Linked DNA regions of Canis lupus familiaris. The protein of the gene in region 2 interacts with the protein of the main gene of each other region in a pairwise test. Links are inferred from orthologs where the notes say so. Each region holds a gene or a part of one and is shown on either strand. Other genes may lie near its edges.

Evidence for each region.
Region 1: the proteins of SREK1IP1 (region 2) and HSD17B14 interact in binary tests that used the Homo sapiens proteins (3 or more experiments, as listed by UniProt). The two-hybrid records come from large-scale screens. The link is inferred for Canis lupus familiaris from reciprocal best matches to the Homo sapiens genes SREK1IP1 and HSD17B14.
Region 3: the proteins of SREK1IP1 (region 2) and PRR13 interact in binary tests that used the Homo sapiens proteins (3 or more experiments, as listed by UniProt). The link is inferred for Canis lupus familiaris from reciprocal best matches to the Homo sapiens genes SREK1IP1 and PRR13.

The regions. Positions count from the first base shown.
Region 1 is NC_049222.1:108,190,870-108,194,908, forward strand, and holds the start of HSD17B14 (17-beta-hydroxysteroid dehydrogenase 14), read left to right. Parts: upstream 1-1,232; 5' UTR 1,233-1,264; intron 1,265-1,601; 5' UTR 1,602-1,713; coding exon 1,714-1,801; intron 1,802-2,314; coding exon 2,315-2,353; intron 2,354-2,513; coding exon 2,514-2,596; intron 2,597-3,065; coding exon 3,066-3,132; intron 3,133-4,039. Other genes in the region: PLEKHA4 (pleckstrin homology domain-containing family A member 4), read left to right, coding at 283-395, 716-975. UniProt on the Homo sapiens protein: Catalyzes the NAD(+)-dependent oxidation of L-fucose, yielding L-fucono-1,5-lactone, which rapidly converts spontaneously to L-fucone-1,4-lactone. Can also act on D-arabinose and L-galactose, with lower catalytic efficiency. Does not use NADPH.
Region 2 is NC_049223.1:49,855,910-49,859,419, reverse strand, and holds part of SREK1IP1 (protein SREK1IP1), read left to right. Parts: intron 1-1,763; coding exon 1,764-1,907; intron 1,908-3,510. UniProt on the Homo sapiens protein: Possible splicing regulator involved in the control of cellular survival.
Region 3 is NC_049248.1:44,879,461-44,883,598, reverse strand, and holds the start of PRR13 (proline-rich protein 13), read right to left. Parts: upstream 2,808-4,138; 5' UTR 2,713-2,807; exon of another isoform or gene 2,457-2,712; intron 1,711-2,456; exon of another isoform or gene 1,683-1,710; 5' UTR 1,663-1,682; coding exon 1,644-1,662; intron 1,294-1,643; coding exon 929-1,293; intron 1-928. UniProt on the Homo sapiens protein: Negatively regulates TSP1 expression at the level of transcription. This down-regulation was shown to reduce taxane-induced apoptosis.

The DNA of each region.
Region 1 (4,039 bases), on a different chromosome or scaffold from region 2:
CGCGCGTGGCACTGCGGTACTAGCTAACTGTAGAAGACCCCAAATCTCTTTTTTTCTTTTTTTAAGATTTTATTTATTTATTTATTCTTGATAGACAGAGATAGAGGGGCAGAGACTTAAGCAGAGGGAGAGAGGGGCAGAGACTTAAGCAGAGGGAGAAGCAGGCTCCACGCAGGGAGCCCGATGCAGGACTCGATCCCGGGACTCCAGGATCACGCCCTGGGGCAAAGGCAGGCGCTAAACCGCTGAGCCACCCAGGGATCCCTCTCTCTTTTTTTCTAGCCCCAGGAACACCACCCCTTATTTGCCGACAGCCGAAGGTCACCGGGAGCGAGTCCTCAGCCTCTCTCATGCTCTGGCTACTGAGGCGTCGCAGTGGCACAGATTGATGACAGGTGAGGGGCTGGGGGACCTTGGACTCCTGGGTTTTAGGGAAGAGGGAGCCAGAGCCTGGAGTCCTTGCTGGTCGGAGGAGTGTGAGAGCTGCTGGGAATCCTATGTCTGGATGAGAAGAGTGCCGTAGAGGGCTTGGGAGTTCCAGATCCCAGGCAGGAGGGGACAGGGGTTCAAGACTCCTGGGTCAGGGGGGCGGGGGAAGGGAGTGGGGCCAGACCTGTGGGTCTGAGGGAGGATGGGACTGGGGGCTCGACTCCTCGGTCTGAGAGGAAAGGGGTCCCCAAGTTTGCCATTCTCACTTCCCACTCGTGCTGTCTAGGTGGAAACTTGGACTCCCGAGGAGACCCTCTTCCCCCTGCGCCGCCGCCTCCGTCAGACCCCACCCCCCAGGGGACCTCGCCCCCGAGATCTCCAGTGGCTAATTCCCACTCAGCCGGGTTCTCCCGCGGAGGTGGGGAGCGCGGCGCAGGCCCCGCCTCCTGGGAGCCCACGTGGGAATCCGGGACCGCCCCCCCGGCCCTGACCCAGGAGGAGGGGGCGTGGCCTCTGCGAGTCACGCTGCTGCAGTCCAGCTTCTGACCCGCCCCAGCGCCGCAGCCAATCGGAGCGGGAGGGGCGTGACCCGGGGGTACCGCCCCGAGACGGGAGCCGCTCTCGGCGCCGGGGGGCGTGATCTGGTCCCCGCGGTGGCCTAGGGTGGGAGACGTTTCCAGGGCCAAAGTTTGGTTTTCCCAACACTTGTCCAAATTCGGATTAAAACTTTGAACTTTTAGTCAATAAATTTCTGTCTGTTTGGGGTTGTGACACTGGGGTCTCTTCAGGGCGGAGCTGGAGCCGTGGCCTCCTGCGTCCTGACGGTCTGAAACCTGTAGGTCTGGAAAAGGAGAAGCAGGGCCTAGATTCCTGGGTCTGAGGGAGGAGGGGGTTGGATGCCATAAATCCTGAGTTTGAGGAAGGAGGGGATTGGGGGCCCAGACTCCTGGGTCCGAGAGTGGAGGGGCTGGGGACCCGGACTCCTGGGCCTGAGGGTCTGAGAGTAGAGGGGCTGGGGGCCTGGGCTCCTAGGTCTGACGGAGGAGGGGCTGGTTGCCTGGGCTCCTGAGTCTGAGGGAGGAGGAGCTGAGGCCCCAGACAACTGGGTCTGAGGGAGGAGGGGGCGGGGGCAAACTTCCAGGCTTCTGGCCTTCCTGGCAACGCCCCCCCAGGGCCGGCCTTCCAGGATCCAGCCCCTATTTATGGTTCTGCTCCACGGCCTCACTGGACTGTGGAGGTGGAAAGAAGCAGAGTGAGTGACAGGGAGAGTCAGACAGAAGCAGGATGGCAACAGGGACGCGCTATGCCGGGAAGGTGGTGGTTGTGACAGGAGGCGGGCGCGGCATTGGAGCCGGGATCGCGAGAGCCTTCGGTGAGTAGGGGTCTGGCGAGTCAGGGTCTGGCTACTTGGGGAATATTAGAGATTGGGAGCGGAGGGACCCTGGGAACTAGTGGGTGTGGGAACTTCAGTACTGGAGTCAAGATTCTTAGCCTATAAAAACCCAATTTGCAATGTTAATGAAAGGGTTGACAGCCTAAGCCTGGGGCCTGAGCTTTTGGCAGTTCTCCAAAAATGGTTACTCTCTTTTTCTGGGTCTCAGTTATTCTATCTACAAAGTGGGGGTGGCTGGGGGAATGTGGCTTGCAGGTTTCGGGTTTATTCTGGAACCCAGGGATGGGGGCTCAGGAACCCCAGCAGGCACCTACAGTGGCCAAGGAGAATATGGGTCAAGTCTTCTGCCCTTTGCTCTAGAGGAACATCATGGGACTTTGGGGTCATGAGGGGAACGTTTGGAAAGATGGGCCCCACTCCAGGTGGCCACAGGAGGGCAGCAGAGGCCTTTGCCAAGATCTGTGCTGGAGTAACCTGTTTTTCCATTCTCAGTGCAAAACGGGGCCCAAGTGGTTATCTGTGACAAAGATGGTGAGTGAGCGTCCCTTGGTCCTCACCCCAGCCCCCTCCTCCCTCACACCCAGGAGTCTGGGCCCCCAGGCCCTTTCCTCTCTCAGACCCAAGAATCAGGACCCCAGCCCCTCCTCCCTCAGACCTAGGAGTCTGGACCCCAGCCCTTCTCTCCCTGCAGAGTCTGGGGGCCGGGCCCTGGAGCAGGAGCTTACTGGAACTGTCTTTATCCTCTGTGATGTGACCCGGGAGAAAGATGTGCAGGTGAGCTATTCTTGACCCTGTCTGGCCCCAAAGACTGCTGCTCCGGACTTTCCCTGATTCTGCTGGCCAGGTTCTGGGTCTCCTGCAAAGTTTCTCCTTTATCTCTCACTATGGAGCTCTTGTCACACCTGTCACATAGACTGGAACAACAACAACAAAAATCCCTCACAGTGGATCTCCTTCTGGAAGAGTCTTCCTCTCCCGCCTCTGGGATTCTATCCGTTCACTTCGGTCAATGTCTCTCTGATGTCCACCCTCTGCCCCCCACCCGGACACCAGGTCTCTGCAGTGTGAATATATCCAGCCCTCTGGTGATTTAGGGGAAGCCCCCACTTCCTGTAGCTCCCTTCACCTTGGCTGTGATCCACCTCCCCCTTTGCTTTTTTTTTTTTTTTTCCCCTTTGCTTTTGGGAGTCCAGGATCCTCAAGGCTGGGTGCCAGCCCTGCTCACTTACCTCTTTGTCCTCAGACTCTCATTTCTGAGACTGTCCGTCGTTTTGGCCGTCTGGATTGTGTAGTCAACAACGCTGGCTACCGTGAGTTGTGTGGCCCACAGGCCATTCTCCCTTGGTGTCCACCCACCTCCCCGCTTCCATCCCTTCCTTTCCCTCCCCCTCAGTTCCCCATCTGTCTTCTCCATCCCCTTTCCCATCCCCCTGTCTCCTTGGATGGGACAGTACAGCCCTGGAAGGCCCTGCACTGGGGCTCACATCCTGGCTGGTTCCATCCTGGCCTCAGTTCTTCTGTTTCTAGAATGGGAATGATGATCATGAACAACAGAGTTGTTGTGGGTATTAAATAAGATAAACTACTCGGCCTCATAATTATCACAAATATCTTGAAGAAACAGCTCCCATCTTGTGGTCTCAATTTGCTTATCTATGAAGTGATGGCAATGACCCTTCCCTTTGCTGATGACTATGAAGGTATCCTCATGAGTGTGGTTTTTTAGGTCCTCTTCAAGGTCCCCTTTGAAGGGGAAATGCTGTCAGTTTAACGACTTACCCTTCATAAGAATCTCTCATGTTGGTAAGCCAGGGCTCAGAGAGATGAACTGATTGCACTGAGGTCACACAGCAAGGCCTGTCATAAGAGTGACATCCTCTTCAGCTGCACAACGTGCCCCCCTGCTTATTGTTGGCTTTTTTTAAGATTTTATTTATTTATTCATGAGAGACACAGAGAGGGAGAGGCAGAGACACAGGCAGAGGGAGAAGCAGGCTCCATGCAGGGAGCCTGATGGGGGACTCCATCCCGGGTCACGCCCTGGGCTGAAGGCAGCGCTAAACCGCTGAGCCACCCAGGCTGCACAACCCTCCCACCCCCTCCACCGCTGCGTATTGGCTGGGCAACTTTAAGCAAGTGGCTCACCCTCTCTGGGCTGCATTTTCCTCCTTATATTGTTGTAAAGATCAAAGAGATGGCTAATACCAGTTCATCCTT
Region 2 (3,510 bases):
AGCAAGGCTTGGGGTCCAGGTTAAGATTGGGACTCTAACTAGAGTTGTTACTGTATAAATTTAGAACTTCCAAAGGATTTCACACTCAAAGAGAGAACTAGAAATAAACCCTAGCACAAAGTTAGTGAATCATTAGTGGGTTGTGAAATCAATTATGTAGTTACCATCAGCACTGTTTGTTGTTGTTTTTTATTTTTGTTTCTGAGTATCAAGCGTAGTAATGCTTCAGGTAACTTTTTGTTTCATTGTGAGTGTGTTAGTGTGAATTTATATTTGAATGCATATATGAATACAAAACATAATATTGGGAGGCAAAAACTAGTTGCAGAATGATAGGTAAATATCACTGAGTTTATGTTATAAAATAATCCAATATGCTGTTTTGGAAGGATGAATACCAACTGCAGTGTACCAACTTCTGAAGACAGAGGGAGTAGAATGAGATTAAGACAGGGTTCCAAGGAATTGTGCAAAGTCCCACCTGTGTGTATGTATGTGTGTATGCACACGCACGCACAGGCATGCAAACATTTACCTTAAACACTGTAAGTGAATATGACAAAATGTTAACATGTGGGTGATAGGCACTTGGATATTGGTTATATTATTTCCTGTACTGGGGGCACCTGGGTGGCTCACTGGTTGAGCTTCTGCCTTTGGCTCAGGTCGTGATCCTAGGGTCCTGGGATCAAGTCCCTGCAGGAAGCCTGCTTCCCCCTCTGCCTGCCTCCTCTCCTTGTGCCTCTCATGAATAAATAAAAATCTTAAAAAAAATAACATCATTTAAAAATAGTAATAATAATTTCCTGTACTTTTCTGGTATTTGTCCTATTTGATTTTTGAATACATGGTATCATGTGATAAATAAGTAAATATTATAGCTTTATTATTGGGAGAGTCTTTAGGAGGCAAATGATGCCAGAATGAATTTTTTTTTCAGAATGAAATTTTTATTTAAGTGTTCTTTAGAAGAGCACCATCAGGGGTCCCTGGGTGGCTCAGCAGTTTAGCGCCTGCCTTTGGCTCAGGGCGTTGTCCTGGAGTCCCGGGATCGAGTCCCGCGTCAGGCTCCCTGCACGGAGCCTGCTTCTCCCTCTGCCTGTGCCTCTGCCTCTCTCTCTCTCTCTCTCTCTCTCTCTCTCATGAATAAATAAATAAAATCTTAAAATAAAAAATAAATAAATAAAAAGAACGCCATCAGGAGCCCCTGGGTGGTGCGGTCAGTTAAGCTTCTGACTCTTGGTTTTGGCTCAGGTCATGATCTCAGGGTCCTGAGATCAAGCCTTGTATCAGACTCCGTGCTCAGCAAAGAGTCTGCTGAAGTTTCTCTTTCTTTTTCCCCCTCCCATGCTCATTCTATCTCTAAAATGAATGAATAAATCTTTTTTTTTTTTTCAAAGCACAGTTATATTATCATGGCACTTTTAATTAGATGAAAGCTATATACTCACTCTGTAAGTAAGTACATAGAAAGGGAAAATACATGAAGTATGATGTAGCCAAAAAGTGCTTATTAAATTAGAAGCCCTGATGAATAAAGGAAAAAGTTCTCTCTCTGCATGGTTCATTCAGGAAAAGCAAAGTACTACCCACTGAATAATAGAAGTTGGAACTAAACATTAAATCATTAAAAGTGTAACTGGAAAAAAAATAAAATAAAAATAAAAGTATAACTGGTTTCTTAACCATGAGGCAACAAAATAAAAATATATAGTGTATGTGTTATTTTGTCATTCACATTTTTGTTTGTTTATTTTACTTAGCTGGTCACCTGACATTTGAATGCCGCAACTTTCTCCGAGTAGATCCCAAAAGGGACATAGTTTTGGATGTGAGCAGTACAAGCAGTGAAGAGAGCGATGAAGAGAATGAAGAACTGAATAAATTGCAGGCATTACAAGAAAAAAGTAAGTAATGCTTTTCTTTCCCTCCATCCTTTAAAAATGTTCCTAAACATTCTGTTGTATTATGTCATGTTTATCTATTTTTCTGTTGTATTTATCATTTAGATATCTTGTGTATTTTATATAGGAGATAGTGCATAGGTAAGGAAATAGACTTTGAATGTTGCAAGTACTTTGCCCAAAATCAAACAGCTGATCAGTGTTAGAACCAGGAGGCAAGTCTACTTCTGATTCCGCAACACAGGTTTTGTCATTGTTGTTTCCATCACATTATCATATGTCACATGGTACAAAGAGTCTGATTTAAGACTTCGTTTCTACACTTGTTTGGCCATTTGTAGCATGTGACTTTCAGCAAGTCATTTAACCACTGTGAACCTTGATTTCCTTGCGGGATAACACAAAGTATTAGTTTGTTAAATCATATTCCTTCAAATCAGTGACCTTAGCCATTATCCAGCTTTACTAATGGTTTCAAATATATAAATGATCATGAGGCAGAGGGAAAGCTGCAAGAGTTCTAAGACCATTAGTACAGCTCCCCAGGTATTTTCTTTCTATGTCAGAACCCCCTCTGGCTGAGATTAACATGAGGTTTCTTTATTACTTACACACACAAAAAAGTCATTTAGTCATGAAGCATCTTAATTTTATGTCCATATAGTTGCATTTTCCAGGGTGACATGCCTCATAAATCCATAGATGCTGGGATTATTTACCATATGCAATCTTGGACAAAATAGATACATCCTGCTATAAGAAATCTATAAATAAGGATTCTCTTGCCAACAACTTGATCATAGGCTTGTAGCTTTCAGAATTATAAGAAAATAAATTTCTGTTATTTAAGCACAATCCTGTTTCTGCTCCCCCCTTCAAAGTATTCTCAAGCTAGCAAATACCATTAATTTGTTTCCAGGAGGTCTCTCATTAGCATGTTTACAAAGAAATTTGATAAATTATCTGTTTTCTTTCTTGGTGGCATCCTCCTTTCTCCTCAAAGAGAGAGTAGATTGCATACCTGTTTAACCATTTCTTTTCCCATCTTGTATATAAAATGGCCTATCCTTGCAAGGGGTTTTTAGGAATAAAATAATGCTGTATGTATGTGAAAATACTTTGTAAACTTCAAAATGCCATATGGTAGATGTCACACAGAATAAAAATGCTTGGAATGAGAGAGATACATAAAGGTTAAAGTCTCATTTTAGATCACAAGTCAAAAATAAACCATAAACACTTTAAAACTTTTTAAGTTTTCCATATTACATCTAGTGAAGGTAAATGAAGTCAAATGCCAGCATACTAGGACAAGCTGGGAAGGCAGAAGAAGGAGAGAATCCTAAAAACGGCAGACAAGACTTACACTACATATGAGTATATACAGCTTCAGGTAAAGATAGCTGCTTGAGTGTACACCTTTGATTTTATCACATACTGAAACACCACGAAATGATAGTGGAAGACTTTTTTTTAAAAAACATAAACCCACAAAGAGAAAGAAAATGAGATAGCAATAATAACAAAATTTTAAAAAGCAGAGGAGTTTAGTGATAATGCACTGCACACTTGAGAAAGTTCAATCCTTTAATAGTAGGAGGTCTAA
Region 3 (4,138 bases), on a different chromosome or scaffold from region 2:
TCTCCCTCTGCCTGTGTCTCTGCCTCTCTCTCTCTCTCTGTGACTATCATAAATAAATTAAAAAAAAAAAAAAAAAAAAGAAACAGCCTCTGTGTGCCTGTCTACCTTTACTTTTTCCTAAGCCCCAAATGGGAGAAAGTGAGGAAGGAGGGGAGAGTACTAGTCAAGGTTCTTTACTTGCACACCCCCAACAACTGTCACCAAACACATTTTTTCATCTCTGCAGGGCAATTTCTACCCCCATTCAACCTCATATCTTTCCTTCTCCTGCAATTCCTACCAAAGATCCGGAAAGGGGTAGTGCCCAAAGCCCTAAGGCAAATAAACACTGGGCACTAAAATGTAAATTAAGGCCTCCTCAAGATCCAGGAAGATCCAGGTGGGTTCGGTCCTTCCAGGGTTGTCCTGAGAGCTACTTGGTTCGGTCCTTCCAGGGTTGTCCTGAGAGCTACTTGTTAGTTAACGCTCTTCTAGAATGAAGATACTAGCTGAGGGCTAGCATCTCTGGGGCTGAGCATGAAATTTAGGTTTTGTTTGAGGCTGAGTCACTGAGAGTCCTGCTGGGTGGTAGGACAAAAAGGCCCCTGTGATAATTAACACAGCACCTCCAGAACACTGAAGGTGGGGGTGTCTGACTTGCTAAACCAAGCGTCTGGGGATGGGGGTGGAGCAAAAGTTCTGGGAGACAGAGACAGGAAGGGCTTTGGATTCTGTTCTGTATTCTATGGCTCAGCTTAGCCTCTCCTCGATAGAAGGCCCGATTTGCCTAGTATTTCAAGATTACCAGATTCTTACCAGTGGAAATACTTTACAAAGAAGAACCGTCGACCAGAGCCACACAATGGCTGCTTCATGTCCTCAGACTGCAAATCCCCCCATGCCTCTGTGGTGGGCACCCCTTCCTAGCCAAGCTCCAGGGGGCACTGACCTTGCCATGCTTGTGGTGTTTGTGCGTCTTTTTATGAGCTTTCTTCATTTTCTTCCGCATCTTCTTGTCCATCACCATTCCCGGTCCCCCCATGCCAGGTGGCAAGGGATTCACAAGAGGCGTGCCAGGAACAGGTGGTGGGTAGGGAGGTGGGTAGGGACCCGTGGGTTGGCATCCGGGGTACCCTGGTTGTGGCGCAGGATAAGGGGGCCCACCAGGGGGAAAAGCTGGATTCCCCTGGGGAGCCCCTGGGGGAGTTGGATAGGGGCCCGGGGGGTAGGCGGGATTCACAGGTGGCGGATGGGCAGGATTGGCACCTCCAGGGTACGCGATGTTAGGGGGATATGGATGAGGCCCTGGCTGTCCTGGTGGAAGAAGCAAAGAATAAGTTAGGATTCCAAGAGCTCAGAGCCTCTGACGATAAACAGGGGCAAAAAGAAGGGGGTTCCGTTTCTCACTCACTACTTACAGGGAAATGCAAAGGCGGGGGAGCAGGTGGGGCGGCGGGGAGGCAAAGCCGGTGGGCAGAGGGAAGGCGAGGGCGGCGGCAGGGGTGGGGAGGGAGGGAGACGGTGACTCGGGACCGACGAGCGCAGGGTCAGCCGAGGAGGAGCGAGGACCGCTTCTGTGCGCGAGGGGGGCGGAGAAAGCGACAGAAACTCCCCGTGCCCGGCTCCTCTGAAAAGCGGTTGCGGCCGAGCCCCCGAGCACCTACCGGCATTGGGATTCCACATGTTCGGGGCCTCCCTGCAGCCTGAGGAGGAAGAAACCAAGGCGAAAAGCTGATGGTGCTGGGGGGGGGGGGGGGGCGGGGGGGGGGGGAAGGGGGGTTAGAGACCCAGCCCGGAGCAGCGCCTCCCGGACTCGCGGAACCGCCTCGACCTCCGCAGGCTTCCTTCCCCACCGTCCCTGCGCTCAGCACCTGCTTCCTGCTGCCCCCAGGCCCGGGGCGCCCTCCCCGCGCCTCCACCTTCCACCACCTCGGGCTCCGCGGGACAGCGCCCACGTCCGCGACCTCCGGGCCCGCTCTCCCCTCCCCTCCCCTCCCCTCTTCGCCCCTTCCCCTCCCATCCTCCCCTCCTCCGCGACCTCGGGGTCCGCTCCCCTCCCCCCCTTCCCCTACCCCCTCCGCGACCTCGGGGTCCGCTCCTCCCTCCCCCCCTCCCCCCCCCCCGCGACCTCCGACCCCGCTCCCCCCTCCCCTCCCCTCCTCTCCTCCCCCCCTCCGCGACCTCTGGGCCCGCTCTCCCCTCCCCTCCCCTCCCCTCTTCGCCCCTTCCCCTCCCATCCTCCCCTCCTCCGCGACCTAGGGGTCCGCTCCCCTCCTCCCCCTTCCCCTACCCCCTCCGCGACCTCGGGGTCCGCTCCTCCCTCCCCTCCTCCCCCCTTCCCCTCCCCTCCTCCCCCTTCCCCTACCCCCTCCGCGACCTCGGGGTCCGCTCCTCCCTCCCCTCCTTCCCCCCTCCGCGACCTCCGGGTCCGCTCCCCCCCTCCCCTGCCGGGGCTGAGCCCGGAAGACTTTCCTCACCCACCGCTACGGAAGGATCTTAAACAACTTCACCGCCCTCAGCCCGGGCAGGCGGAGGGAGGCAGGACCCTCACCCCAGGCCACGGGAAGGAGCCGGAGAAGGCGTCCAGGGAAGAGCCTCCACCGCTGTCTTACGGAGACACACCCCCCTTCCACAGCCCACAGGGCAAGTGGAGAGCCTGGCTCCCGGCTGCCAAGGATCCCTGACCTGGGGACGAGGAAAGGAGGAAACTGGGGAACCCAGACGCCCAGTCACCTTTACACCACCTCCCGGGCGGGACTCATCCTCGGCTCTCACTTCCTGGCCCCCGCCCCCCGCTCCCCGACCTGGGCTTCAGCGCCCGCCCCCGCCCCCGCCCCCGCCCCCGCCCCCGCCTGGTTGGCGAGCGCTTGGCCCGTCCGCGTCGTGATTGGAGAACACAGCCGTCAATCACTCTGGCAGGCGGGGCTGGAGGCCGGCGGCGGCCCCGGGGGCGGAGCGCGGCCCCGGAGGGCGCAGAGGAGTGGGCGGGCCGGAAGCGCCGGGGGCGGGGCCAAGGCGGGCCTCGGAGGGGCGGGGCCGGCTTGTGGGCGGAGGCCCGGGGAGGCCCGGAGGACTCTGCACCGGGGCCCTTTGAGCTCCTCGGGCGGTGGGTGCGACGCCTGGAGAGGTGACCGAGGCGGTGCCAAGGTCCTTGCAGAGCGCCTAAGAGACGGCGGAGAGCTGCCGGGTCTCAGCCCCACGCCTCGGTTTCGCCACCTTCCTCCTCTCCCCTGTGGGAAGTAAAGAAACATTCTTGGGGGAAATACAGAGATTTCCTAATCCCCCTTAGAATTCCCTAGCTCACTTGCATAGCTCCGCCATCCGTCGAATTGCATAAGGCAGAAGCCAAGGAGGTCATCTTTGATGGCTTGTCCCTTGTCCCGCCGCCGCCGCCGCGAAGAGCTCGTTTTGTCTCCCAAATAAATCTGAATTCTTTCCGCTTCTCTCCATGGTCCCTGCTCCTAGCCTATCATCGTCTCTCTACTGGATTGCTGCAATGGCTTCATGTTTTTTTTTAAATCACAATTAACATAAAAAACCATGCACCCCAAACTTAAAAATACTCATTCTTCCTAAGCATACTTAGGCTACTTATTAAAAAAAATTGAGGGGCAGCCCAGGTGGCTCAGCGAGGCCTGACCCTGGAGACCTAGATTCGAGTCCCACTTCGGGCTCCCTGCATGGAGCCTGCTTCTCCCTCTGCCTGTGTCTCTGCCGCTCTCTCTCTCTCTGTGTCTCTCATGAATAAATAAAATCTTAAAGAAAAAAATTGGGTCTCAACTAATATAAATCAAATTTCAAAGAATTGTACACTACATACCACATTCTCTGGTCACAATGTAAAATACAAATATACATCTGGAAATTTAAGAAAACAAAAAGGCTTCCAAATAACTCTGGGTCAAAGAATAAACCATGATGGAAATTAAATACTTTGAACTAAGCCATACTGAAAATACTACATCCCAAATTTGTGGGATATATAAAAAATATTAAGAAGATAAATTGTATACTGTCTATCATCTTGAATTAAGCCCTTTGATAGATTTTTAAAATATTTTTTATTTTGTTTTTTTTTATTTTGAAATAATCCTTAGACTCACAAGAATTTGTAAAAAAAAAAAAAAAAATTGGGGGTGCTCCTAGGGGGCTCAGGCGT